4 linked regions of the Rhinolophus ferrumequinum genome follow. The protein of the gene in region 1 purifies or fractionates together with the protein of each later gene. This does not show direct contact. Links are inferred from orthologs where the notes say so. Each region holds a gene or a part of one and is shown in the gene's direction. Other genes may lie near its edges.

The links.
Region 2: the proteins of EP300 (region 1) and HNRNPU purify together in Homo sapiens (affinity purification with mass spectrometry; 3 studies listed by BioGRID, with this or other methods). This does not show direct contact. The link is inferred for Rhinolophus ferrumequinum from reciprocal best matches to the Homo sapiens genes EP300 and HNRNPU.
Region 3: the proteins of EP300 (region 1) and ILF2 purify together in Homo sapiens (affinity purification with mass spectrometry; 4 studies listed by BioGRID and IntAct, with this or other methods). This does not show direct contact. The link is inferred for Rhinolophus ferrumequinum from reciprocal best matches to the Homo sapiens genes EP300 and ILF2.
Region 4: the proteins of EP300 (region 1) and MCM5 purify together in Homo sapiens (affinity purification with mass spectrometry; 3 studies listed by BioGRID and IntAct, with this or other methods). This does not show direct contact. The link is inferred for Rhinolophus ferrumequinum from reciprocal best matches to the Homo sapiens genes EP300 and MCM5.

The regions. Positions count from the first base shown.
Region 1 is NC_046293.1:6,788,298-6,795,384, reverse strand, and holds the start of EP300 (histone acetyltransferase p300), read left to right. Parts: upstream 1-4,085; 5' UTR 4,086-5,293; coding exon 5,294-5,387; intron 5,388-7,087. UniProt on the Homo sapiens protein: Functions as a histone acetyltransferase and regulates transcription via chromatin remodeling. Acetylates all four core histones in nucleosomes. Histone acetylation gives an epigenetic tag for transcriptional activation.
Region 2 is NC_046310.1:16,462,134-16,469,983, forward strand, and holds the start of HNRNPU (heterogeneous nuclear ribonucleoprotein U), read left to right. Parts: upstream 1-4,850; 5' UTR 4,851-5,044; coding exon 5,045-5,678; intron 5,679-6,585; coding exon 6,586-6,697; intron 6,698-6,785; coding exon 6,786-6,859; intron 6,860-7,850. UniProt on the Homo sapiens protein: DNA- and RNA-binding protein involved in several cellular processes such as nuclear chromatin organization, telomere-length regulation, transcription, mRNA alternative splicing and stability, Xist-mediated transcriptional silencing and mitotic cell progression.
Region 3 is NC_046305.1:52,588,841-52,595,681, reverse strand, and holds the start of ILF2 (interleukin enhancer-binding factor 2), read left to right. Parts: upstream 1-3,829; 5' UTR 3,830-3,928; coding exon 3,929-3,933; intron 3,934-4,649; coding exon 4,650-4,709; intron 4,710-4,905; coding exon 4,906-4,948; intron 4,949-5,406; coding exon 5,407-5,511; intron 5,512-6,393; coding exon 6,394-6,471; intron 6,472-6,814; coding exon 6,815-6,841. UniProt on the Homo sapiens protein: Chromatin-interacting protein that forms a stable heterodimer with interleukin enhancer-binding factor 3/ILF3 and plays a role in several biological processes including transcription, innate immunity or cell growth.
Region 4 is NC_046293.1:10,965,177-10,972,439, reverse strand, and holds the start of MCM5 (DNA replication licensing factor MCM5), read left to right. Parts: upstream 1-4,255; 5' UTR 4,256-4,324; intron 4,325-4,555; 5' UTR 4,556-4,563; coding exon 4,564-4,730; intron 4,731-6,951; coding exon 6,952-7,078; intron 7,079-7,156; coding exon 7,157-7,263. Other genes in the region: HMOX1 (heme oxygenase 1), read left to right, coding at 804-934. UniProt on the Homo sapiens protein: Acts as a component of the MCM2-7 complex (MCM complex) which is the replicative helicase essential for 'once per cell cycle' DNA replication initiation and elongation in eukaryotic cells.

The DNA.
Region 1 (7,087 bases):
AATGAATCATTCCTGAAGACCAATTTTGACTTTAGCCCTACATGTTGGATCCATCCTATAACAACTTTAAGATAAAGGAGTACTGTCCTTTTTAATTTGCCTGCTTTTCTACTGTAGTTTGGATGAATTAGGCCTGAACATCATACAATAGAATAAATCTTTGTTGGCAACCTAAGTTGTTTCACTAAGATTTTCACTCCTACTGGCCACCATATCTGAGTCTCCATCAACCTGGTTAATACTATTTGTCCACCCCACCCTGAGACCCCACCCCACCCAACTTTCCGGCCCACCCAAGCCACTTCCAGTGGCTTTTCCATACAAACAGCCTGTCTTGGCTCATGCTGTGGACTTTCCTAAAACCACTCAAAGGTTCACAACCCCCAAACAAGCAGCATCTGGCTTCAGTGTGTCCTGTGCCTCTTGCTGAGCAGCTCTGAGTCTGGCATTAGTGACAGAAGGCCTCAGTTCTGGGCTTAGCCTCTCAAGGCACCTCCAAGACCAGCACGGTGGTGGCCATCTGTGGATTGCTTTGTGGCTCATGCAAGGCTCTGTGGCTCTGGGCAGGGAACAGTTTGCAGCTGAACTTGGCTTATGGTGGAGCCTCTCCCAGGGGTCCCCGGGGCTGGCATACATTGTGGCCAGCCTCGGACCAAGCAGGAGCACCACCCAGCCGCCTCCAAGAATGACACACCCAAAGGGCAGGCACCAGAGCCCTGCTAAAGTGAATCTTGCTCCATAGGGTCAGCCCCTGCACCACAGCTCCTCTACTGTTGTCACGGCCAGTCCTCACAACAAATCAGCCTGAGAATGAATCCCTCCCATTGACATACAAACAGCTACCAAGGCTCAACTACAACAGGAGGGCACACACAACCCACACAGGGGACATACCTGGAGCACCCGGCCCGGGTGATCAGGGAGACTGTTCCACTGAGCATAAGGCCACTCTACTGAGACCAGGAGACATAGAAGCACGTTTCTAATACATAGAAACACACACAGGGAGGCAGCCAAAATGGAGAGACAAAGAAACGTGTCCCAAACAAAAGGACAAAACAAGCCCCAGAAAGAGAATTAAACAAAATTAAGACAAGGAATCTACCAGATGCAGAGTTCAAAACACCGGTTATAAGGATGTTCAATATCTCGGGGAGAACTTCAACAAAGAGATCAGAAACATAAAAATGGAGATAGAAATTATAAAAAAGAACCAGTTAGAAATAAAGAATACAATAACTGAAATGAAGACTACATTACAGGGAATCAATAGTAGATTAGATGAAGCAGAGGATTGAATCAGCAATTTAGAAGATAAGGTAGCAGAAAATACCCAATCAGAACAGCAAAAATAGTGTGAGGGATATAAATGATAACTAAAAAAGAAACCAACAAACAGCAAAAAGAGAAAAAGAATCCAAAAACATGAGAATAGTTTAAGGGGCCTCTGGGACAACATCAAGCATACCAATATTCGCCTCACCCAATTAAAAGATCGGGTGCCTAAATGGGTAAGAAAATAAGACTTTTATATATGCTGCCTACAAGAGACTCACATCAGATCGAAAGACACACACTGACTAACAGTAAAAGAATGGAAAAAGATATTTCACGAAAATGGAAACAAACAAACAAGCTGGGGTAACAATATTTATACCACACAAAATAGACTTTAAAACAAAGGCTATAACAAGAGACAAGGGACTCAGTAATCCAACTTCTGGATATTTATCTGAAGAAACCCTACTTCGAGGGGACATGTGTGTCCATATGTTCATTGCTACATTATTTGCAATAGTCAAGACATGGAGGCAACCTGGGTGTCCATCCGTGGATGAACAGATTAAAAAGAGGTGGTAAAATGGAATATTACTCAGCTATAAGAAAGAATGAAATCTTGCCATCTGCAACAACATAGTTTGACCTAGAGGGTATTATGCTGAGTGAAGTAAATCAGACAGGGAAAGACAAATAAATGGCATATGATTTCACTTATGTGTGGAATCTAAAGAACAAAATAAACAAACAAATGAAACAGAAACAAACTCATAGATACAGAAAACAGTTGCCAGCTGGAAGTGGAGTTGGGCGAGTGAGTGAAAAAGAACTACAAATTGGTAGTTACAAAAGAGTCATGGGGATATAAAGTATAGCATAAGGAATATAATCAATAACATTGTAATAACTATGTGTAGTGCCAGATGGATACTAGATTTATCAGGGTTCTACATGGGAGGAGGTTGGGGGCAGGGTGAAAAAGGGAATTAGAAGTACAAATGGGTAATTACAAAATAGTCATGGGGATATAAATAAAGCATGGGGAATATAGTCAATAATATGGTAATAACTATGTATAGTGCCAGGCAGGTAATAGACTAGTCAGGGGGGGTCACTTCTTAAATTATATAAATGATTAACCATTATGTTATACCCCTGAAATTAATATATAAGAATGTGAATATCGACTGTAATTGAAAAAAATTTAAAAAGCGGGGGAAAGGTGAAGGGGAATAAGAGGTTCAAAATTTCAGATATAAAACAAATAAGTCATGGGGATGTAATGTACAGCATAAGGAATATAGTCAGTAATAATGTGATAGGGTGGTACTGTGTGAGATGGTTGCTGGACTTATCATAGTGATCAATTCTTTAGGTATACAAATGTTGAATGAACCATGGTAGACACCTGAAGCTAATATAATATTATATAGTACCTATATTTTAATAAAAATCTTTATAAAAAAGAGAGAGAAACCAAATATTTTTTGATAAAAAAAGATTTTCACTCCTAGGTTCTTATTTCTTCTCACCATTCATTTAAAATGCAAACAACAAAAACCAAAGTAAACTCAACAATAAGCAGCTAGGGAGCATGAGATTTGAAATATGCTAAAATGCTTTTAATTCTCTCCATAGGTGCTAGTTTGGGGGTTTCCTTGGGGAGCACTAACAACTTTTCCACCTCCTCAAGTACCATTTACCCAAGGCCAAACACAGCGGAATCCCTTCCCTAATGTGTAGGAATGTGAAAGCATGCTGGCGCTGGCGAGGCCCTCCTCTGCAAAACTGTCTCACACAGCGCACTTTATTTTTGCTTCTTTCCATCCTTACATTACCTTTAGCACATTATGTTTTTGCTTTTTCCATAATTACATTATCTTTAAGGCACTGCCTAAACGGCGTCTTTTATTAAGCTGGTTTATTGGGGGTGGGCGAATAGAAACGCCCTAAAATGTTCTCAGGTCCCAGATGAGTTAAGAAAAATAATTGAAGGCCCCTTTGGTGTCAGTGATACCTGGTAGGGGCGTGTGGACACGTGGTGGGCAAGAAACAAATTTAGGTCCTAAAACGTCTTCCAACTGCTGTGATTTTTGTTTTCTAATTATCAAAATACACACTCGTTGTCAAAAAATTGTAAAACTCAGAGAAAAAGGAAACAACTTGTAATCAGTGTGGTTTTGGGATGTAACCCGTTCCTTTTGGGGAAGCGATGGAGGGGAGAGAGGACGCATTAGGTCTTTGGCCAGGAACACCGGGCGGCGGGGTACTCGGGAGTTGTGGGTTCAACCGGGTTCGAAAAACCGACCGCCCAAGAGCCTGGGGAGCAGGGCCATTCCCACTGCGCTCCTTTTCCGCCACCTGCGCGGTGACTTGGCGCCTTCCCTGGCGTAGCTCCCGGCCTCCGTCACCCCCGCTCCGCACCGGTCCCCTACGCAGATACCCAACCCCGGCACCTTCCCCCGTAAGTGTCCACCGACTGAAAATAGGTCCCGAGTCCGCCCCCGACCCCCCTTCAAATCCTCCCCTTTAAACGGAGCCACCGGGTGACGCCGGGGGAGTTTGCGGAAGCGCCAACCGCGTTGGGGCCTTGGGCGGATCCCGTGATTGCAACTGGCCACGCCCCTGGGTCCTCTTCCCCCATTGTGTGAGCGACTCGGGCCCAGGCCCCGCCCCCTCACCGCCTCTCTCCCGCGGCCCAACCCCTCCCCTTTTTTTCACCCCCCCTTGGCTCATTTCCGGCCGCCGCTGCTACCGCTAGCCCGTAAGGAGGATTCGACAGAGGGAAGAAACAACAGCCGCCATCTTGTTTGTGTGCTAGGCTGGGGGGGAGAGAGGGCGAGAGGGAGCGGGCGAGAGTGGGCAAGCGGGACGTCGGACTGAGTGCGAACTGCGGGAGCGAGAGTGCGGAGGGGAGCCGGGCCGGAGAGAGGCGGCAGGGGCCGAGACAGTGGCAGGGGGCCCGGGGCGCAAGGGCTGAAGCGACCCCCAGCCCCCTCCCGCCCGCACACACCCCCACCGCGGCCCCGGAGCCGGGCCGGCGTCGACGCCTAGGGGGGACCATTACATAACCCCGCGCCCCGCGGCGCCTTCGCCCGCCGCCGAGGGCGGCCCCGAGCGGAGCCCCTGGGGGGCGGGCGCTCCCGGCACCTGGCCGCCGGGGGTGGGGGCCGGAGAGGCGGCCGTATTTATTTATTTTCCGCGGGAGAGGAGGGCGAAAGAGAGCGCGGCGCGAGGGGAGGCCGCCTGCACCACCCTCCGGAGCGGGGCCTCGTCGGTGGACTCGGCGTCGGCGCGGGCGGGCGGCACTGTTCGGCCCGGCCCCCTCGGCCCTCTGGGCCGGCGAGCTCCGCGCCCGGCGTCCTCGCCGCTCCTCCGCCGCCCGCCGCGCGATGTGAGGCGGCGGCGCCAGCCTGGCTCTCGGCTCCGGCGAGCTCTCTACGGCCATTAGGGGCCGGTGCGGCGGCGGCGCGGAGCCCGGCAGCAGGAGGAGGGTTCGGAGGGTGGGGGCGCAGGTCCGGGAGGGGGCACCGGGAGGAGGTGAGTGTGTCTTGTCGCCTCCTCCTCTCCCCCCTTTTCGCCCCCGCCTCCTTGTGGCGATGAGAAGGAGGAGGACAGCGCCGAGGAGGAAGAGTCTGATGGCGGCGGCGGAGCTCCGAGAGACCTCGGCTGGGCAGGGGCCGGCCGTGGCGGACTGGGGACTGCTCCTCTAGAGCCGCGAGTTCTCGGGAATTCGCCGCAGCGGACGCGCTCGGCGGATTTGTGTTCCTGTGCCCTCCTCCCGGCCTGGGCTCAGGCCCGGCCCCTCGCACTTGCCCCTACCTTTCTATCGAGTCCGCATCCCTCCACAGCCACCGCGACCCGGCGAAGAGAAAAAGGAACTTCCCCCACCCCCCTCGGGGGCTGGCGGAGCCCCCCAGGCCCACCCCAGGGAGCGGGGCGGGGATCCCGGGCTGAAGAAGAGATTTCCCGAGAATTCTCGTTTTCCTCGCCTGTATCTCCGAAAGAATTAAAAATGGCCGAGAATGTGGTGGAACCGGGGCCGCCTTCAGCCAAGCGGCCTAAACTCTCATCTCCGGCCCTCTCGGCGTCGGCCAGCGATGGCACAGGTTAGTCTCGGGAGTCCTCTCCTCCCACATCCCCTTTCATCTTTTCTGCTCGGTGGACCTTTATTCTTCCATATTTTCTTCGTTTTTCTCTCTTCCTAGTTCTCTCTCTCGATTAATTTTAAAGGTGTTTGAATGAGCTGGTCGAAGACGTCCAGTAGCCCAACCATTTTCTTTGCTTCCTAATACATTCGTTGCAACATTATGTCATATCGATATGTGTTCTGGAATTAGAGCTCTTGAGTGGTGATATAGAAATGGCACTTATTGTTTCCATGCAGTTTGATTTTGGATATGCCAATGCATTTGTGGGTAAGGGCTTTTTATGCAATTTTACTTTTAATTTTTTATTGTTGATAAATGAGGAATTGCGAATCCTTTCGCCTTGGTTGCACTTACTCTGTTTCCTCTACTTTCTACTCTTCCTTTTCAAGATTTTCTCTTTTTTGCACAAGATTTTCTGTTAAAGATGAAGGTGTAAAAAAAAATCTTGGTTTTATTTGTTAGTGGGTGTGATTCCAGGATTTCATGTTTGACGTGAGGTTTAACGTCAAAACCTGAAATTTGGTTTGAATGATTTTACCTACAATTCCTAGCTTTTTTTTTCCTTTGCTTTAAGAATCAATATGGAGCGCAGTTCATTTTACATCTTCCATTTCTTTGGTGTGAGACCAAAATGTCTGAAACTCTGGGTTTTCAGGTGGGAGAGAGCAGGGACATTTTCTTTGCAGTTCGTAGTCACTTTGTCTTGGGGGGGCAGTGGGGGGAGATACTGATTTTGTGGAGTGAAGTGCTTGGAAATCAAGATAGAAATTCAAAGAGTCCCAACCATGAACTGATGGTACACAACTTTAAAATGTGCCTTGTTTGTGTGTTTTTGCCTTTTTATGCTTTAAACATATTTGGAGATTTCAGTTTAAAAAAATCTCTACGAATTCTTTGTGGAATAGCCCTTTCACAAGAGATAGTCCGGGAGACTTCCTTCCATCATCTCTTTCTTACAGTTAGTTTGGTGCTGTCCTGATGACCACCGGCCTTCTCTTTTGCTGTCATAGTTGTTTGGGGTGCCAGGATAATGAAGAGGAAGAATGGCTGGCCATTTGACCGTCCACAAGATTCCCTCCCCCGCCCCCCCCCCTTACTACGGAGCATCTCTTGAACTCCCCAAGAACAAGCTCAACGTCATCCCTCCATCTGCCAGTGAGAGTACTTAATGGAGCTAAATGTACCCTTTGAGTTTGTAGAGAACTTTTCAGCACATTTCTAAGTAGGCTTCATCTTAAAGGGTGAAAATGTAAGGGTATGGCAAATGCTGTCGTTTCTTTGCTTTTATAAGAAAAATGTGTTACGAGTTTAAGATAATCAGCAAAAACTAAGGATTTTTGCAGAGTTCCTCTACTTCAGGCTTGTAACATTAGCAATGCGTGAACTTTGATCTGTCCTTACGCCTTGAAGTTTCTGTAGTGTTCAGAGATTTTTTTTTTTTTGGTAACCTAACCTTTTTTCTCAGGATGCATGCAAATAATGGGTAACCTATTCCTTTGCATTTATTATAGTGTCGTTCAGAAATTCTTATAGATCCACCATTAGGCATGTTTTCACCTGTAGATTTTTGGGTTGTTTCTTAGTTTTTGTGTAAAATGGTAATGGATTTTACATTTGAGTTTGCTAGGGATAGTTTAGAGAAAACTTTTTTTTTTGTA
Region 2 (7,850 bases), on another chromosome or scaffold:
ATTTATTTGGTAGATGTTATGTCAAGAAGGCTCTGCTGAATCAAATGCATCATCACAGTCTCTACTTAATTTTTGGAGAGCTCTCTCTTAAAATAAATTATTCAGTGTGCATCAGGGTTGTGGTACAGTTCTCACGTTTTTAGAGGGTATATTTCGTTACCGAGCTTCCATCTCGTTCCCCACACACTGCTGGGCTCTCTGTGACTATTGATGTAAGACACTGCACCGGGTGCTGGAAAAGTCATGTCCATCTTGCTCCCTGAGCTCAAGGAACAGACCAGCTCCAAGGGTGCACATAGAAGGTGAGAGCTTATGAGGTAATAATCACTCTAGTCTTTCATCTCGTTCTTGGCTGTGTAATTCAGGATGGTCTGAATATTTTCTTCATCCTTTTCTATCAGGTACTGTGATACCGGCCAGGCACGAGTAATGTGTGTGATAATGTACTTAATAATAATAAACTCCTTAGCACTCCACTTACCTTTGTGTAAGATAAGTTTTGGTAAATGTTATCAGTCTTTACCTGGTAAATATTTTAGTTTAGTAAATATTTACTGAATATTTAGTAAATATTCAGAAAAGCCCTGACATATTACTTTAACCACGATTATAGTTTTCCTGCAACTTTCTAATGAGCGTGTTTTATTCCACAGAAGTTATGTGAAGACAGAGATTCATGACATCACAGACAAGATGATTCAAATAGGAAGCATTTACTTTGAAACTTTTAGCCTGTCGTGGTACTCAAGTCTCATGTAAATGGGAATATTTTGTACCATTTTAAATTCAAAAACTATAGTACAATGGTTCAACGTTCATGTCTACTACTTAATTTTAAAATGTTTTGAGACTCTAATGCAAAGTTTTAAACATAACAAGTAAAACCTGAATGTAAATAACAATGATTTCAAAGTTTAACAGTGCTCCCCCATTTCCAGCCTGGAGTCAGCAAAGAAGAAACTCATCGAAGGTTCTCTCTGGAGGGACTCTACAAATCTAGTCTGCTCTGCTTCGTACATACACAAGGACACTAATTTCCAGAGAGATCACGCAATTTGCCAAAGGTCACACAGCTGGTTACAGTGACAGTGCTGAGCTGAGAAGTCTGCACTCTCCTGTGTGGACAGACTTCATTTCACTTTTTTCTAGACTGACATCTTACAATGAACAATTCATGATAATTTACAAAATATGTATAGTCATAATTCCCTAAATAAGATATTAACAATCCAATCACAGATTTTCTTAAGTTCATTAAATTGCTTGGTGTATCTAATGAAGACTAGTATTTTTTGAGCTCTTACTGTGTGCCCAGCACTGTACCCTGAGTTTATGTTCATCACCTGGCTGAATTTTCCCAGCAACCTCATGAGGCAGGTATATATGAGTAAACTCAGGCATAGAGAGATACATAGCTTGTGCAAGATCACATACTAGCTACTAGATGGGACCAGCTCCTAGGTGCTCTGGATGGCACTGCAATCCAGGTCTGTCTGTTTCTAAGTTTGCACTTTTAACGAGAACTTGGTACATCCTCCCTTTCAACTGGGCTTTCCTATTTCTCTATTTGAAAATGTACTTTTAACACATTATAATTTGGAGGTACCTATACTTTCTTACATCTTTGTAAGAAGATTGGAAATTTATCTCACCGTATTTCTTGCTTCGTTCATTAACTTAAATTGAGCTTCATTGTGTTAGACCAAAAAGAAAAAAAAAATAAGTTAAATGGAATAGCATCTTGAGTCCACTGAATTTAGCACTCATATCAGTTTATGTCACTTCACTATGAATCAGCCTTTAATGTCTTTCCTCTCTTGGAGGCAAAGCTAAAGTCCTTACAAAACCACCTGCAAGGTTGCTTGCTATCTCTACCTCCTCTCTTCTCTCTTAACTCTCTGATCTCACTTCCTATCTTTCCTCTCAGGCCTCTGTATTTACTGTTCCCTCCACCTCTTCTAGATGTTTGCTCAAATGTTACCATATTTCTTAGGCTTCCTTGACCACCTTATTTATAGCTGAAAAACTCACCCCCCACCTCGGTACACCTCGTCCCTCTCCTGTTTTTTATTTCCCTGTAGTAATTGTTACCATTCCTATTTTATATTTGTTGACTACTCTCCCTAAGAGAGTGAAGGCATAATTATGTAGTTCACCGCTGTAGTTCTAGGATACCAGTGCCTAGACCTCTATAGGTCTTAGAGAAGATGATCAAAAATGTATTTGCTGAGTGAACTGTAGCACGTATGTACACACCTTTGCTTCAGCCTCAAAGTGTAAACTATGTGTTCTGAGTACCCTAACTTTGTAATGCTCTCTCATAGATCTAGTACCCATGGGTAATTGTCTAATCCCTTTTTGCTACTGAGAATTAATGTGTCCCCTCTTCCACTCTATATTCTTGGTAGTCTCTAGGATTTCAAAAAGGGGGAATTTTAAGTTCCTTATAGGTCCCTCAGCAATTTAGAGGAAGTGATCTATACTTTGACTGGTCTCTATAGAACAGGACAATCATGATAGCATTAAACTCTAAGTAGAAAAAACAGGGGCTGCCCCTTAGTTCAGTTGGTTAGAGTGCAGAGCTCCTAACAACAAAGCTGCTGGTTCGATCCACATGTGCCACTGTGAGCTGTGCCCTTCACAACTAGATTGAAACAACTACTTGACTTGGAGCTGATGGGTCTGGGGGTGGGAAACACACTTAAAATAAATAAAAGTTAAAAAAAAGAGAGAGAGAGAAGCAAAAACAATTAGTAAAATTATCATTATATGTACTTTCAAATTGTAAAGTAGATTCTACCCCTTTGTAGAAAGGACAATGTAAGGTGATGGCTCGACAGTTTTACAAAAACTGTTTTTCTTTCCAATGTTGTTTAAGAAGGTCCAGTTGTAAGGAAGGAGCACTGGGGTGAGAGGGAGAGCCTCTGCAACCTGGGCTGTAAACTGAGCCCACTGAAGATGTTCTCCAGGCTACATCGAGCTCAAAAAGTCTGCAAAGCTCTTGGAGTTAAAGCCATGGAACTATCTCCTGTCCATCTACAGTTATATTTCATGTTTATTATTAACTGATTTAACCTACCAACAATGATTATTATAAAGATATTTAGATATGTGAACTTTATTTTCATAGTTTAAAAATGTAAATATCTAAGGACACTTACAAACTTAAAGGACCGTCATGCTAACTATATTTAACTCTGATTCATTAAGAGACTAATTATTCAGTTTGTGAACATGTAAGCCTCCTGTGGCTCTCTTCCCGTTTTTGAACACGGGCAAAGAATTTGAAAAGTTAAAATTCCAGCTTGTGACTTGTTTACAAGCTCCAAGGACATTGTAACCAAAGGCTAACAGGAGTTTTTGGCACTATTTGGAAGTTCCTATTTTAGGTGCTATCCCTTCTACCTCCAGTAAGCTGAATTAAGAATTACCAGTACTGTACATGGTCCATTAATTTCAACTCAAATCACTTTACAAATGTTAATATTTCATCTTTATATACTACTGCCTGGAAAAATAACATGTTTGTTAAAGGCTATCGAAAAGAAACTTAAAAAAAACAATAAAATTAATCTAAAACATACTACCTATGGGAAAGTTTACATGTATATTTTTCCAAATTTCAAATTAATATTGGGGCCGCATTATTGTGCCAGCTAAAGCATCAAATAGTGGGTGTAACAGACCTCCTTAGTCAGAGATAGTGGAACACTGGCTGGTCCCTGTGCAGATTCTCTGAGGTTTAAGATGTTTACCTCCACCACAAATCTAAATTCTGGCCCCCCTATCTAAAACCTCAAGAACATAACACATCTTTTATTTAGTAAAGAAAAAATTACTTCTGAAAGACACCAAAATAACAGATTTTGAGGGTGACAAGTCTCTTTTTCTTTTTACAAAATCACAGCCCTTTATTTTTCACACGTTTTTATTAGTTTCAGCAGGATTTGGTCAAGAGTATTTCTACAGAAGTATGAATAGAATCAAAGTGTAGGATTTAGCTGGGACTTTACACCTGGACGACCAGGTCCTAAGTGGGACAGAATGTTTTACGTTTTTGGTTTTTTTTGGTAGGTAGGTAGAGAACACCCAGAAATGCAATTCTGAGGCTTCATTTCTTTGGCTATTAATACTACGAGAACAGCTGCCAAGACAAGGCCCCTCAAGTACGCTTTGCGGTATGGAGCAGGGATCACGCTCTTAAGGCAAGCCTCCATCTCCCAAGCCGTGCAGTAGGGGTTGTGGACGAGACAAAAGAAAGGCTTTGCCCTCGCCCCTCCCGAATTTAAAATCCAATTCACAGGCAGGACTTAGAAAAATTAAACGAAATATTACGCGGAAGAAAAACCCCTGCGTGTAGTAATTGCCAATTTGTGTCGTACAAATCAAAACTGAAAAATTGAAACCAATAGCTGGATAAGGAAAATCTAAGATGGAAGAAATGGTGGAGGATTCGAATTGAAACCGCCAGGTTGAGGACTGAAAGCATTTGGATAAAAGCAGCCTCAGGGCTGGAAAGGCAAAGAGCAAAACGAGTACTGCCACCAAAGAACTAGAAAGGCCAATAGTTGTTGCAGTGGGTCGGTTTAACTGAAAGGCGGTTTCCTTTCCCTCCATTTGCTCAGTCCCAATTGGAAGCGCACTGCGCGGCCCGGGCCGCGCTCTCTGCCCAGAGTTCGGCGTGGGGGCGGGGAGGTAAGTACGGTAATGGGCGGGCCCCGGCGCGGGCGCGCTCTGGCTTCCCTCCTGCGCAGCACTCCCGTCAGCGCAGGGGGCGGGGCGGCTATAATACGTGCGCGGCGCCGCCCCTGCGAGAGGACGTTGCGTGCTCGCTCACGCCAGGCGAGTCTCCGCGTCTCCCTCGCGAACTCGGTGAAAGGAATTGGCGCCGTTCGACACCAGGCGGGTCCGCTCTGCAGCACGAACCCACCTCCAGCCGCAGCCGCCGCCCGGGCCGAGGAGCAGCCGCAGCAGCCGCCACCAGTGGCCGAGTGAGCGGAGCCGAGTTCGAGCCAGCGCCTAGCGGTGAATCGGGGCCCTCACCATGAGTTCCTCGCCTGTTAATGTAAAAAAGCTGAAGGTGTCGGAGCTGAAAGAGGAGCTCAAGAAGCGGCGCCTTTCCGACAAGGGCCTCAAGGCCGAGCTCATGGAGCGACTCCAGGCCGCGCTGGACGACGAGGAGGCCGGGGGCCGCCCCGCCATGGAGCCCGGGAACGGCAGCCTAGACCTGGGCGGGGATTCCGCCGGACGCTCGGGAGCAGGCCTCGAGCAGGAGGCCGCGACTGGCGGCGACGAAGAGGAGGAGGAGGAGGAAGAGGAGGAGGAAGGGATCGCCGCCCTGGATGGCAACCAGATGGAGCTAGGGGAGGAGAATGGGGCCGCGGGGGCGGCCGACTCGGGCCCGATGGAGGAGGAGGAGGCCGCCTCGGAGGACGAGAACGGCGACGACCAGGGTTTCCAGGAAGGGGAGGATGAGCTCGGAGACGAGGAGGAAGGCGCGGGCGACGAGAACGGGCACGGGGAGCAGCAGTCTCAACCGCCGGCGACGCCGCAGCAACAGCCCCAACAGCAGCGCGGGGCCGCCAAGGAGGCCGCGGGGAAGAGCAGCGGCCCCACCTCGCTGTTCGCCGTGACGGTGGCGCCGCCCGGGGCCAGGCAGGGCCAGCAGCAGGCGGGAGGTAAGAAAGCGGAAGGCGGCCGAGGCGGCGGCCGCCCCGGGGCTCCGGCAGCGGGTGAGGGCTGCGTGGTAACGTTGCGCGCGGCAGGAGGCCCGCGCGGGTGTGGACCTTGCTTTAGGCCTGCCGGGGCCCCGTGGGGGGAGGGAGCCCCGGGCGGGGGCCGCGGCGCGGGTGGCGGTGGAGGAGGGGCGCGGGGAATCCCGGATTAGCCGTGAGGCCTCGGGCTCGGTGTGTGTGACGGTGGTGGCAGCGCCTCCATTATGTGGCTCGAGAGCCAGGGGAGCTGCAGCTGCCGCTGGAGGGGGAGGAGCCGCGGGCGGCGGGGGGAGCCCCGTCGGCCCACGGTGGCGCCGCCGCGCAGCGTGCGCGCGGTGCGGGCACATGTCTCGGGGGGAGGGGAGAGGCCCAAGGGCCCGGGGCGGGCGCGCTTTGGCGGCTCTGGGCCGCGGTATTGTGCAAGGAGCGCAGGGGCTCGCGTGACGTCACTTCCGACGGGAGGGGCCGGGTGGGGAGAGCGGGGCGGAAGATCTGTACAATGCGGCCGCGGGGAGCGCGGGCCCGGGTGGGGTGGGGGAGGGGAGGGGAGGGCGCGCGGGCTCGGCTCTGCCCCTCCCGCCTTCCTGAACTCTCTTCGGGATGCACGTGGGCTCGGCCTGTGCGGCGCTATTTTTCATTAGGTTTCTCGAATTTTCCACTAGACTGGCAAAATTTGTGGTGTTTATACTGCGTCACTAATTTCAATCCTATTCCAAGCTGATCGTTTGAATTCTCATTTGAGTCCGTTGTTTGAAAACGCTTCCAGAAAGGAACAAGGAAATGTCGAGCTTTTTTGCGTCTCAAAACAAAAGGGTTTTTTTCTGTTGTGTTTGCGGCTTGGCCTTCTAAGTAGGGGTGTTGTGTGTTATAGGAGACGGCAAAACAGAGCAGAAAGGCGGAGATAAAAAGAGAGGTGTTAAACGACCTCGGGAAGATCATGGCCGTGGATATTTTGAGTACATTGAAGAAAACAAGTATAGCAGGTAGAGGACGCTCACCTAGTTTTACTTGTCATTCATTCTTTACTCTTTGGTGGGAAAAGCTGTATCAGGAGACAATATTGTCTTTCAGAGCCAAATCTCCTCAGCCACCTGTTGAAGAAGAAGATGAACACTTCGATGACACAGTGGTTTGTCTTGATACTTGTAAGTGAAGCTGCTTCTTCCCTTTCCTCCCTCAATTGTCAGATGCTGTAATTTTGGGGTTCCACATGTTAGAAAACGGAATGTAACATTGAACTTTAATGCAGAAAGCTTAGGAGAAACAGGTTTTTAAAGGCAGGAAGATGATGACATTCCGATACCTTAATACTTAGTATAGCAGCAGTTGTATTGTATTGATAATTTTACGGGTTCTAGCAATTTTGTAGTATTTTTTTTATTACTTGAACTTTCTCCTTTGTAGGAATGTAAAATTAATGCCAATTTTGATTAGTTAGCTAATGGAAACTTGTAAGACTACTTATAACTTGTGCTTATGGGCTGCTTCTATAAAGTAATTTCATTTTTTTGTGTGGAATTATATTAAGTGAGCTATTTGGACTAAATATTTATTAATGACTTCTCCCATTAGCACACAAGTATATTCCCTATACTAAAAGATTGTAATATTATTTTCTCAATAACTGCTCTTTTGTTCTCAATTCCAGTTCAGTAGCTGCTGCTTTAACATAAGTTGATTTCTTCCAAAGACCTGGGGCAGCAGCAGTGGGCTATCACTGGGCCACTAGCTTTCTTCAGCAGCGAATGGTATCAATGGCAGCGCTGTAAATACTGCTCCTTTACCCAGTTGGGTTGCAATTGAGTATGAGGAAGTATTGCAAACCTCTAAATGGGCCGTGGCTGTCAGATTTGGAATTCTTTTTTATCACAAAGAAATTTTGTTGGTTTAGTATATGATCAGAATGTATAATTCTTTCAGTGATTAAGCAGAACAAAAGGTAGAAATAATTGTTCGAAAAATAAGGTGTTAACCTGCCCTGTAGATCCTAGGGAGTTGAAGCTTAGAGTTTTCATGTTTTCAATACAAATTGTATTTATTCAGATATGTAAGCATGTAAGTGTAAAATTTGATGTCTTACTGAGTACCCTTTACACCTAGTAAGGTAGTGGAGTAGTCTTTATAAAAAAAACTGCA
Region 3 (6,841 bases), on another chromosome or scaffold:
TAGAGAGAGCAGAATACTGAAGTACGTTTTCTATATATGGAATATTAGGAGAATTTTGAATATAATTATGGTCTAGAGCAAACGGTAGCCCATGGACCAACTTCAGATGGCGGGCATGTGTTGTTTGTCTTGCATTCTCATATATATATATACACACACACACACACATATACATATATACATACATATATATACATATATATTCATATTTAATTTAGTTGCCCACGCTTAAAAGCCAGCATATGGTACATGAATATTTGGAGTTCTGGCTTGTCTTGGAATATTGCAGAGCTGGTAAGGTAGGTCCTGCATCTCTCCCTGAATCGTCAGCTGGAACCAAGTACCCCTTACCTCCTTGAGATGTTTAGTTTCTCACGGTTCTTAGCCACCCTGTTTACTCATTGTCATTACTGGCTGCAGTTTATGTTTACAACCCTGATGTAGGATGTAAGATGTTGGAATTACCTGGGAGGAGATGTCTTTGTTCTTTCTGTTAGTGGGGCTCCAGATTCCATAGACGTAGATAGGAGTAGGAGATTGGGATATATATATATATATATATTTTTTTTTTTAAAGAAAACAGTTTTATTGAGATATAATAACACAATAAACTGTACATATTTAATGTATATACAATTTGAGGAGTTTGGACATATTTACACACCCATGAAACCATCACCACAGTGTCTAGGTAATAAACATACCCACCACTTCCAAAAGTTTCCTTGTGTCTTTGTGTGTGTGTGTGTGTGTGTGTGTGTGTGCGTGCGTGTGAAGAACACTTAACATGAGGTCTACCCTCTTAAATGTCTAAACGCATAAGACTGTATTATTGACTATAGGGAGATGTTTTGTAACTAGATCAACTGGACTTCAGGAAGAGAAGACAGTATACAAATAACTGAAGTCTAGGTGACATCGACCCATTCGTTGAAAAGCTGAAGAAGCAGGTTTTGGGGAGATTATAATAATTTCAGTTTATGGGGTTTGAGGTGCCTGTAGATACCCAGGTGGAGGTGTCCAATAGGTCCTTGAATTAGTGGAGCTGGAGCTCAGAAGAAAAGACTGGACTAGAAATCTAATTTAGTAATTGAGCTCCTCCATCAGCAATAGTGGACCAAATAATGTGTCTAATCCCTGAGCTGAAGACAACTAAAATGTTGGATGAAATCTTTTAAAAATCAAAGCACTAGTAAAACAGTGAGGAATTATTGGTGTGAGAGCAGAAAAGGACAGGAAAATAGAGAGGTGAGACCAGCAGTGGGACTGCTTTTACCCTGGGGTCATTTGCTGGTCCGCATCGGTGGCGGAAAAAAGGCTGTGTGGGGCAAGTGAGACAAAAGTTGGAGTCCAAATGTCCCTAAGGGTGAGAACCCTGGTAAACCACTGTACTATTTGGGGTTAGGTTCCTGGAAGGCTGCATTCCTAGGGAAAACCTAAGAGTAGGTAGAAAATCCAGCTCCAAAATATTCAAAAACCAAAATTCAGAACCAATTGATGGGTTTCACAGCAAGTTAGACTCCACTGAGGATCAAGTAATGAATCAGAAGGAAGGACAGAAGAAATTACCCAGAATGAAGCGTGGATAAAAAGGCATGAAAAACATACGAGAGAGTTAGAGGCATAGAGGATAGCATGAGAAAGTCTGAAACACCTTTATTTGGAGCCCAGGACAGAGGGAAATAATAGGATAGAAGTCATATGTAAACAGATAATGGCTGAGAAACTTAAAAAGTGAGTGAACTACATCAAGCCACAGATTCAAGTTCAACAAACCTCAAATAAGATGAAAAACAATTCCCTATTTAGATCCATCGGAGTGAAAGTGCGGGAAATTAAATAAAAAATAAAGCCTTTAAAATAGTAAAACGTATTGAGTACCCTCAAAGGTGCAGCCATTAGATTGACAACGTTTTTTTCACAGTAAAAATGGAAGCCATAGACAGTAAAAGAATATTGTAAATGTGCTGAAAGAAAATTAGTCCCATCTAGAAACCGATACCCAGAGAAAAAATGTCCTTCAAAAACAAAGGTGACACAAAGACGTTCAGACAAACCACAACCAAGAAAATTAGCTACCAGCAGAGGGGTACTTATTCTCCAGCAGAAGGATCAGTCCAGATGAATGGTGAATGGTTGGAGTTGCAGGAAAGAATCAAGAACGTTAACAACGGTAAATCTAAAGGACCACAAATTTAACTAATAAGCGTTAATGCCTTGTGAGATTGAAAATATATAATTTAAATTCTGTGCACATATATCTTACACCTACCAAGATGTGGAATGCATCTGACCACAAGAATCTTGTACACAAATGTTCATAGCAGCTTTATTCATAATGGCCTCAAACTGGAAACAACCCAAATGTGTTTGCCTGTGTCTCAGCCAGTTGGAGGTCCTGAATTCATCAAGAGGAGAAAGGACAAACAAACTATGGTGTATTTATGCTACTCATAAACAAAAAAATTAATTGCTGATAAATGCAAAACCCTGGAAGAATCTTGAAACGTGTCAAGCAAAAGAAGCGAGGCAGAAAAGAGTACAAACACTCTGAGTCTATTTAAATGAAGGTCCAGAACAGACAAAACTCATCTATGATAATAGAAATCGGAACAGTGATTGTCTCTGTGGGCGGGGCAAAGGGGTATGAACCAACTTTCTGAAGGGATAAAAATTTCTTTATGTTGATCTGGTGGTGGTTACATGGACGGGCTACATCACTCAAAGTTTCTCGAGCTGTAGGCTTAAGATCTGTGCATTTTGTTGTAGTAAATTATACATCAATAAAGTACTTAAAAGAATTACACAACAGCGATAGTATATAATTCTGGAGGGAGTAATGGTGGTAAATAGAATTAAATTATTCCTGCATTTCTCACGAAGACGGTAAAAGTATTACATAAAATTAGACTTTGCTAAATTAAGGATGCACGTTGTAATTTTTAGGGTAACCAACTAAAAGAGTAGAAAAAGAGTGTGTAACTTTCAATTAACAGAGACTGGGAGGTAATAGTGCAAAAGAAGGAGGCAAGTAGGGAAGAGAAAGATTACAGGAGGGACAACGCACATAGTAATATGATTGATTTAAATGCAAATACAGTATATACGTATATGTGGCTGTTAAAACCTCCTAAAAGGGTGAAATCCGTCAGTTTGTAGAGAGGGAAGAAGAGAGATGGGGGAAACTGGGCAACGGGGATGGGTCTGGCCCTTCTGTCCTTACTACTTCCCTGCTCTTTTTCTGAGACCTGTTTCCAAAGCTGCCTCAGTTTTGCTTCTAGTCCCTCACCATCAGTGTTTTCCCCGCTCTGATTCAGTCAATATACTGCCCCCTTTTCTTAAATCCGCTTCTGCGTTAGTGTTCATTGTTGCCTAATTCCTTTCCTATTCCCCCCCATTTCACTTGCTAATGGTAAAAACAGCTTCTCCAGGCTGCTTTTTAGAGGCAGAAAAAAATAGAAAGTGGTGTTTACACTTACTGAAGTTAAAACTTGTACGGTATATGAGGGAGGAAAAAAACATCCGATAGCAGAGGATGGTTTCGATCCATCGACCTCTGGGTTATGGGCCCAGCACGCTTCCGCTGCGCCACTCTGCTATCTGGAATCTCAGCTACTCATCACTCCTATAGAAAGTGTTCTGCGTGGCCTCGCTCACATCTTTATATAACGCCATCTAGTGTCTGGTAAGAAAAATTGTCATTTATCAAGTCTATTCTTATTGGCTACTTCCTGACACACAGGCGTTTTTTATTGGTTCCTAAGCAGGCTTGCCAGAGTAAACCAATAGGCATAAGCGGAGGATTAAGGCGGGAGCCAATCACGCCGGAGTTTGTTGGGACACGCCGGCAAGCCGCCTCTCCAGTTATCGGTTTCTCCGAGGCAAGGGGCGGTTGGAGTGGTCTCCATTGTTCGGGGTTTAGGACGCCATGAGGTAAGGGCACGGGATTCCTCTGGGAATGTGTGGGGTGTTTGACCGAAAAGTTTGGGGAGGGGGACCGAAAGGAGTCGGAGGACCTGGAAGGACCACGTGTCTGGGGGCTGCCCTAAAACCTGAGAACTCGGGGTCGGGGCGAGTGGGAGGTCGGAGGCCGCGGAGGCGGGGAAACCTGGGCCTGGGATGGGGGTGGGGCCCAGGAGTGGGGAGGCGGGTTTGACGCCTGTCTGCGGGGTTTAGGGGAGGGGGTGTCCTCCGATCCCGGGAGGAGCACCGCGCTTCCCCCCATCTAGGCTGAGGAGGCTGGAGCGTGCTCCTCCATCCTCACTGCCAAGTGCCCGGCTGCATATGCCCGATGAACGTTTCGCGACGTTAATGACTCAATGAGCAGTCCCTCGAGTCTCAGAAGTATTAGGGTTGGCGCGTCCCGGGAATTATGGGGTATTTCTTACAGGGGTCGATGTGGGAGCCCCGCCGTCGTTTGGTGTAGTTGTGACTACATTATCCAGAACGAGGGCGCGGGGGTGAGGCTGGCCGTCGGGACCGGGAGACGTGAGGCGGGCGCCAGCCGCGGAGCGGGGATTCTCGGCTCCCAAGGGAAAGTTCAGGGCGATGGCGGCAGGCTGACTTGAAATTGTATGACCGGGGGTATGGTGGAGTGATATTTTTAACGAGGCCGAAACCACGTTCGAGTCTATTTTCGTGTATTCTAGGGGTGACAGAGGCCGAGGTCGAGGTGGGCGCTTTGGCTCCAGAGGAGGCCCAGGAGGAGGGTGAGTGCCAGCTTTAACCTCTTTGCTCTGGTTACTGTCTACGACAGTCACCTAAACAGGAGTTTGGAGGGGCCTAATACCTGCTTTGGTGCGATCCTGCTGTGTGGTTCAGAAACAAAGCCAAAGGAGTTGGACCCATCATGCTAAGTCGCTTGATTTCTGTGGTTCCTAATTTGGGTGGTTTTTCTTGTTTTAGGTTCAGGCCATTTGTGCCACACATCCCATTTGATTTCTACTTGGTGAGTACCATAGCCCCTGTTCACCCGTTGCCATAGAAATGGAGCCTGCACACTCTTCACTTGTGGTTTCCTGGAGCCCAGCATCTCCCTGTAAATGAAGTCAAATGGTGGTTGCAGTAGGAAAAAGGATTAGGGAATGGAGTTGGGGTTTTGAGTCAGCTGTGTGTTGCTTACATGCAAAAACAGTGTAAGCAGGGTGGGTCAGATCTGTGGCTACTGTTGCCAGTGACGTGACTGTAGTCTGAATGTTAATTGTATCTCTGGCCTATCTGTTATTATAAAAGTAGTGACAGCTTCGATTATGGTTATTCCCTCCAGCTTGGATCCTTGTTTGAACATCTTAAGGAGTAAAAACAAGTGTTGTAGAATTTTCTATTTTTATTCTATTGTAGCAACAGAAAAACAACCTCTCCTCTTGGTTTTGAGAGATAGTACATAGTTCTTTGTTTCTGATTTAGTGTGAAATGGCCTTCCCCCGGGTCAAGCCAGCGCCTGATGAAACTTCCTTCAGTGAGGCTTTGTTGAAGAGGAATCAGGACCTTGCTCCTAATTCTGCTGAACAGGTATATTCTTTTGGCTTCCTTCCTGAGATTTCACTAAGAAAGCCAGAGAAGTGAATAATACTGGTGAGGTTACTGTGATCAGAGCCCACACTCCACAGAGAGTTCACAGCGGTCCCCTCTTACAGTGGAGATAACGTCCAAGACCCCACTGGCGGCCTGAAACCATGGATAGTACCGGACTCTATGTACACCATCTTTTTTCCTATACATACGCACCTGTGCTAAAATGTAATTTATAAATGAGGCACAGTAAGGGATTAACAATAATAGAACAGTTATAATATACCATAATAAAAGTTATGTGAATGTGATATTTCAAAATACCTTATTGTACTGTTCTTATTCTTCTTGTGATGATGCGAGATGATACACGCATACATGATGAAGTAAGATGAATGGTGAACGACTGAGGCACTGGCGTGGCCTTAGGCTACTATGGAGAGGGCTACTGGCCGGGAGCGAATATAGTGTGGATATGCTGGACGAAGGGATGATTCACAGCGCGCCATTTAAAACTTATGAATTGTTTGTGGAATTTTCCGTTTAATATCTTTGGACAACAGTTGACTGTGGGTAACAAACCACATAACGCAAAACTGGATAAGGGGGGAGCAACTGATTGTTCTCCTTCTCATTGTGGGTGGAGGGAGAGTGCCAGATGAATATATAAATATTTACAGATGTGTTCATATTTTTATTGGGGAATCTATGAGATCAAACAGTTCTCTTCTGGAATGCTCAAGGCCAGAGGGTCAGAGTGTTTTTAAAGCACTATGTGGGAATTGACTCAGCTTGTATGGAAAGGATTAAGAGGAATATTCAAACTGAGAAGTTGCTTGTAATTTTTCACCGTAGCTTATTTTTGTTTCCTGCTGTTTTCAGGCCTCTATCCTTTCTCTGGTGACAAAAATAAACAATGTGATTGACAACTTGATTGTGGCTCCAGGGACGTTTGAAGTGGTGAGTTTCTGATGACCTAGTCTAGTTGTAGGGCAGCCGTGGTAGTATGGAAATTTCATTGGCTCCTGTCTCTTAATTCTTCTATTATCTATTACCCAAAGCCAAGTCTAAAATGGGAAAATACAATGGAATTCCTTTGTGGAACTGATCTTGGGACAAGACTTACATCATTGTTATCAGCTAGCCATGATGTATCAGGCTTTTCATGTGGTTTTTGGGATATGACTTGACCTCTGCAACTTCTAAGTCTGGGTGATAAAATGCTGTGTTGTAGTTGAGTTTGCAAAGGAAGAAGGCAGTCTTTTCACTTCTTTTTTTCCCCCTGAAATCCTTCTTCCAACAGCAAATTGAAGAAGTCCGACAGGTGGGC
Region 4 (7,263 bases), about 4.2 Mb from region 1:
TCCAGTATCGCTTAACTCTCCTGTCTTCTGAATGTTTTAAATGAGAAGTAGGATGCAGGCAACAGGGCATGGGGTTTCAACCTCCAGTGTGTGAGTCTGGGCACCTCTCCCTACCTCAGTTTCCCCAACTCCCAAACCAAGGGAGGTTGAGTTTGTTCTAGTTCATTGGCTCAAAAGTAGAGAGAGTTATTCAGAGGCTGTGTCTGTGCTGAGAGAATATCTGGGAAACGTCCCAAGAGACCCAAATGCTCCACAAAATGGACGTCCACCGAACCTGACACATGCGTGGTGGGAGGGTGGCTTTGACAATGGGTAGAGTGGAGAGGTGAAGCTCACTGCCTGCTTGGCAGCTTCCATGAAGCCTTCTTGGCTCTTGGTGCCACTCTGACCCCCTGCCTTGTGGCTTTTCCACATGTGCCAGGACCATGTGGACCCCTCTATTGGTGGGATTGTGCCTCAGAGTGTTGGAATGTGGCCAGTCCTGGTAGGACAGGTTACCTGGTGGGGTGAGGCGTAGTTGCCCTAACCAGTTCTCAAAGTGTGGTCCCCGGGAGGGCATGGTCTCACAAGGTGGGCTGGCTGAAAAGTGAGGACTAGACAGCTTGGAGAAATAGTAAGTTCCCTGTCCTTGGAGGTATTCAAGCAGTGGCTAGAGGGCTACCTGTTTGTGCTGTAGTAGAATCCTGGCATTGAGTGGGACTGTACTAGAGACTGCTGAGGCCCTTGTGCTGTGTTTTTCTGTGACATCAGACATCCCACCTCTGTGCATCTGTGTGGTTGACACTGACCCCTTTCTCTTTCAGATGCTACTCCCATCGAGACACCCAGAGGGAAGTCCCAGCTCAGTATCCTCTCCCGGGCACCACTAGTACGATGGGTCCTCACACTCAGTTTTCTGGTGGCAACGGTTGCCATGGGGCTTTATGCCATGTGAATACACACGTACACACGTGTTGGCTCCTGGGGCCATGAACTCTGTCCAGCGGAGGACCCTCTTTCTAGAGGGAAAATCTCAGCTGGCTTCCTTCCCTTGGGCATGGGGGGCTGTCAGCACCCCCACCCTCCTTCCCTCTCTGGAAAGGAAGAAGGAGACTTAAGTGTCTTCCCAACCAAAAGTACATCCAGCCAATGACCTGACCTTCCAGAGAGGGATGAGGGGTCCTTGCCCAGCCCTCAGAACACTCCCCTCCCCTACTCCTGCAGCAGAGCCCAGAAGTAGCAGCCAGAAGTAGCAGCTGTCCTGAACCTCCAAAGGCCCTGGGGTCACAGTCTCCTTGTTGACTTGCCATGAACGCTTTCCTCATGGGCCATGGCAATTTTCATATAAATGTGCAAAGATGTTGTGTCTTGTGTTTGTCTTGTTTTTGTTGGAGCCACTTTTTGTTCCCAGCTCAGCCTGAACTGGGGTGGCATTTTGTTGTGTTCTGTTTTTTTTTTTTATAGCAGGGTAAGGGTGGTTGGGTGGGGAGAGAGGTGTTTTTAACAGCACTGTGGCCTTGGTCCCTAACTTTTATGTGAAATAATAAACTATATTGCCTGATATAACTTGAAGTGTTTTTCTTGGGCTGTTACCTTGGGGAACTGACCTTTTCCTCACTTGCTTCTTGGATGTCTGGTGGGGAGAAAGGGTGCAGGAGCCTGTCTTAGATGTTGTGTTCTGTTCTGAGAATGGGGGCTGAGCTTTAAGTAGTTGGTGGGTGTATCTTTGTGGTGAACCCTGCTTGACGCAAGACTCACCTTTACAGAGGATAGCTTTGCCTTGTTAGGCTGAAATGAGCAGATTCTGGGATAAAATTTGAGTCTTGTCCAGTGAATCTTAGAGACTAGCGAGAGATCCCTGGGTTCAAGACCCTGCCACTCCACTTTGTCACTCTGCCTACAGAGGGGTCAGTTACTAACCCCTCTTGGGGCTCAGTGGTGTCACCTGTAACATGAACACAGTGAGACCTACCTCACCTGCCTGTGAAGCAAATGAGATGCATGTAAAATGCCAGCATTGTACACTTGCCCCTATTATGAAAACGAGGGAGATCGGGGTTTTGTGATTCTTGCTAAGTGGTTCTTGTACTGGCAGTCACCTCACCTATGCCATCTCATTTAATCCTCACAGTGAGTCTGTGTGACGAGCGGCACCACCCTGAGGGGCAGGAAGGATTTACCCCAGGTCTGTTCAGCTCTGTGACCCAAGCCTTTCCCTTAACTCATGAAAGCCATCAGCTTATTTAAAATGCAGAATCCCAATCCGAGACAGTGAAAGCCCCTCGCTGAAGGTGTATTTAGGAGCGCAGGGGACAAGGCCTTTCCTTAGACAACTAGTAGGTGAGGACTGGGAGTCAGGACGTCCTTTGTCCCTGGTTCTGGTTTTGTCACTACGTCTGGAAACTTGGACAAGTCACTTCAAGTCTCCTTTATTCATTGACAAAATGAGAACAATACACCTACTCCAGTGGTGTCCTAGCACCAGTCAGTGGATGGTGGCATCATGATCACCCAGATATTCCTGGGCCCCACTGGAGAGGTTCTGATTCTGGAAACCTGGGGCTAGATTCTGGAACCCTGTGTATAACAGGCTCCCCGGGAGATTGCGAAGGGCAGCCAAGCAACAGGAGCCACTGTTTATGAGATGGTGCATGCAAATCGTAGTCATTCAAACAGCAACTACAGCTCTGCCCACCTTGGGCCCAGTGTGGGGACAGAGCCCCAAAAATCAGTTTCCAGGCTCTCGGCCTCACATAGAAAGGTGCTGGCTCAGGTAGTAAATGGCCATCGACTGTGAGCAAATGGCCAGCAGCTGTGGCTAGTTGGCCGTCAGCTGTAACCAGTGAGCCATTAGCCATGAATATAACTGCCGTGGCTAGGCTAGCAGGAAAAAAGGGGGAGCTAGCAAGAAGATGGTGGCTGAGCCTGCAAGCAGTGCAGTGAGGGTTGAGAATTGTGTTGCTCCTGGTTCCTGTGTCTCCAACCCAGCCGCCAGCGAGAGTATAGTGGTGTGACTCCCCTGCCTATGGCTCCGTGGATGTTCCTTTTTGGCCTAGCCATACCCTGCGTTCTTATGTGGGGGGCGGGAGCAGAGACCCCGCCTGGATCCCCTGCACTACACATGGCGCAACGAGCAGGGTCCCCTGCACGACACCAGTTTCCAGTTTTCTGTGAAAGGGGCATGATATTCATGGTGGTGATGGAGGGCGGGTGGGAGGCGGGAGAGAAAGCATCTTGATTCTACTCTCAGGAAAATGGTAATAGTTTGCCTTCTATTCATACTATGGAAAATTAAATCACTGTTAGATAGAATGAAATGTTTCCCGTCAGAGGGACTTCCGTGCAGTATTAAGCAGAAAAGCGTTTCCGATTTATTTGGTATTTTTATACACTGTGAAAAGACACATTTCAAACATGCCTTGCAAACATGTTTGAGTGACCGTGGCGGACAATACAAAGTTCTTTCCAGGTCCTTGAGGGGAGGTGGGTAGAAATGAAGAAAAGTATGCCGTCCTTGTTGCTGCTTGAGAACGCGACGAGTTTGGCCAAATACTCCCATTTTTCAAGCTCAGTTGGGAACCCGGTCGTGAATTTTCGCCAAGGTTAAGCATTTCCAAATAATTTAAAATCGACAGTTAAAACAAAAATTCTCCTTTAGGTCTAAGAAAACATCCTTGAGTCCTAAGTTTGGGACGATTTTGTTCCCAGAGGCGTTAAGGAGACCAGAGGTGACTTGTGCCTGATCAATCTCCCAATCTTAGAAGAGTCTGTTATTGTGAGAACACGGAGCAGGGGTGCAGGTGGCCGCGCCCCCGCCCCCGCCCCCGCCCGCTGGACGGCAGCGGGCTCGCACCCCGCAAGCGTGTACTTCGTAGGGACGTATAGCTTCTGAACCCTTGGTTCTTTCACCCCGTGGCTCTGAAAGGAGTTATTTTTCTCAAGAGATTTTAGAAAGCCTCGAGAAGAGTACACAAGCGTCCTCAGCACGCCCGCACTGTCCCTCGGCCCGAAAACCCACCCCTCCACCATCTTTACGCCAGGCCCCACCCCTCCCCTTCCCGTCATAAATTTCGCGCCAAATTGCCCGCCACACAAAATGGAGCCCGGAAGGAGACCAGGAGTCCTGACATCATGAGCCCCTCAGCCAATCCGCTTCGGCTACTGGCCTTGGAGGCGGGGCTTGAGGGCGCAGAGCGGTCCAATCAATGGCCGCGGGGCCTCGGCTAACCAATTGGGGCACAGCAGCCGCAGCGTCCGAACGCGGCCTCTCGTTTTTCCCGCGAAACTCGGCGGAGAGTGTCGGGGTGCCTGTCTCTCCGAGTCCGTGGAGTGGCGGAAAGGAGAGGTGAGGCCGGTGGAACTGGGGAGTGGGGACCCGGGAGCCCGCCCCACGGGGGGTCGGTAGGCTATGGATGGGGGCGCAATAAGGGTGGGTAGGGGTATCCCCTGGGAGAACTGGGGTCAGGGTCCCCCACCCCTGAGTCGAGACACACCCGCCTCGCGTTCGGAGCGAGGGACCCAGGCATCGGTCGCCGCGCGCTGCCCCCACTCTGCTCCAGCTCTTTTTCTCCGCCAGGTGCAGGCATGTCAGGCTTCGACGACCTCGGCATTTTCTACAGCGACAGCTTCGGGGGTGACAACGCGACCGATGAGGGGCAGGCCCGCAAATCGCAGCTGCAGAGGCGCTTCAAGGAGTTCCTGCGGCAGTACCGCGTGGGCACCGACCGCACCGGCTTCACCTTCAAATACAGGTGCGAGCCGGAGCGGGGGCGGAGGGGAGCTGGGCAGTCTCCACGGAGAACCTTGCAGTGTCATAGACAGTCCAGACACGGATGGGGAAACAGGACGAGAGGAGGAGGAGCCTGTCGCGGGTCTGCGGGTTTTGGTCCAGCAGTGCGTCATCAGGCACTCCCCTCCCCCCCACAAACCTATGGCCTATGGTTTCCTGTGTTTTATACCTGGAGTTAACTTTTGAGCCAGTCTTCTGCTGAATGGGCCTCCGCCAACCCAGCTGGAGCTACGTGGGCCCTTTGGTTCGTTGTCCATTTCTTGTTCCTGTTTGTCTGCTGTTTCTGTCCTTATACATACTGTCAGAGATACTTTCTTGACCCTAGTTGTCTCTGGGTACAGTAGGTGAAGTGGGAGTTATGATTCACTTCACTCATTCATTCGTTCATTCCTCTCTTGGAACCACTATTGATTGAGTGCCTGCTGCATGCCAGGCACTGTTCCAGGTGCTACAGCACTGAACGATCTGGGCTAGGTCCCTGCTTCTAGTCATTGTGCAACCTGTGACATCATGCCACATCATTGTAGGCCCTTCAAACATGCGTTTGCAGGTCCAGGCTCGGGTGACAGTCTCTCTGGGCCTCAGTTTCTTCGTCAGTAAAATGGGCATAGCCATTTCTGCTTCCATTTATTCACGCACAAGCTAACATTGATCACCCATGTGCCAGACACTGCTAGACACTGAGATAACAGACGCAAAAACATTCGTACTACTTGCCTTCGAGAGCTCAGTGGGAGCGATGCATAAATTAGGAAGTGATAGTCACCTCAAGGGAGGAATGTAAAAGAGGAGTTGGGGAAGACTTCCAGAGGAGCCAAAGTTCTGGGTGACCCTTGAGCCGAGAGAAGAGTCGTGGTGTGGGAGGCATTCCACATGGCAGTTGCATGGGCAGAGGTATGGGGTGGCCTGTTGTAGCAAGGGGCTCTCTGGGCCAGACAGGCTGCTTTATGTGGCTCCCACGCATAAGGTAGAAGAGGATGAGGCCTGAGGTGAGGCTTGGGAGCCGGCTCTGCGTAGGTCCGTGGTCCCCAAATGTGTTTGGTACAGTCGTGCTGTGGAATGCTCTGAAAAGAATCTGTGATGGTTGACAAGATACAATGTCTACTCTCGTGTGCCTCCCCAGTTCTGGGGCGTGTGCCTCCCCAGTTCTGGGGCGTGTGCCTCCCCAGTTCTGGGGCGTGTGCCTTGTTAGTTTCCCAAGAGAGTCCTGCAATGGAAGCACTGATTTGCAGTGAGAGTCTCCCCAACTGACCTGTGCGTGGAACCTCGTCTTTGAGGGTTGAAATATCCTTCCACGGAGCTTTCTTTGGAGGCTGCCTCTGCTGGCAGTAGGGACCTGTTGCGTCCAGCGCAACACGGGCACTGAGGGTGCGAGAAGGGGTGGCTTTGGGTTAAGTTTTTAAGAAAGAAACATACAGAGACTTAATGCAGTTAAATCTCAGAAGGCCAGGGGTCTCACAGTTCTGAAAGACTGGAGCCCAGATATGAGCCGACTGGAGGTTTTTATTGATAAGTATACAAGGGAGTAGCAGTGTTTTTGGCACGGTCTGTGGGACTCACCACGTTATAGAAACAACCCAAACCAATTATGTTGATCTTCAAACAGCCGAAGCAGAAAGTCCTTGAGGTGAGGTATGCAACTCTTTTAAGGGACATATATCACATGTCGAAATTGTTTCACAGAGCTGAGCAGAGACAGCTTAATCTTATCACTCTCAAGACTTTTCTCCCAATTAGGTGAGAGGGGAAGCCAGAGTCAGCAGCGACTTTTCCCAGGCAGGGGGAAGGGGAGACAAGGCCCCTTCCCAAATCTTTCTAAGGCAGCTCATTGGGGGTCTCCATGGGGTTCCGCCTGGCTTGAGTTGTCCCCGCCGTGGGGAATCTTACTCGTCATTGGCCGCAAACCCTCTTTTGGAGACTAAATAGAGAGAAATATACAGTCCCAGAGATACACAGTCTCACAGACTCTTCTTTCCTTAAGGAAAGACATGGGGTGTGGGAGTCGGGGGCAGGCTGCTAGGCTGTTGTGTGACAACAGGGATCCTTTGCAGAACCCCCTGGAATTCTGTGTGCGTTTGGGGAGCGACGTGGTGAGCAGTGTTGGTGATGGTAAGGGCAGGTTCAGGGTGCAGGTGTACCTTAGCCAGTGTTGGTTGCTCTTTTCTGCCACCTGCCCCCTCCAGGGATGAGCTCAAGCGGCATTACAACCTGGGGGAGTACTGGATCGAGGTGGAGATGGAGGACCTGGCCAGCTTTGACGAGGACCTGGCTGATTTCTTGTACAAGCAGCCAGCCGAGCACTTGCAGCTGGTGAGTGGGACCCTGTCTCTGACCCCCCAGGGCTGGCCCTGCTCGTCACCAACGGCCTGTCCCCTTCCTTCTCTCTAGCTGGAGGAAGCTGCCAAGGAGGTGGCTGACGAGGTGACCCGGCCCCGGCCCATCGGTGAGGAGGTGCTCCAGGACATCCAGGTCATTCTCAAGTCAGACGCCAGCCC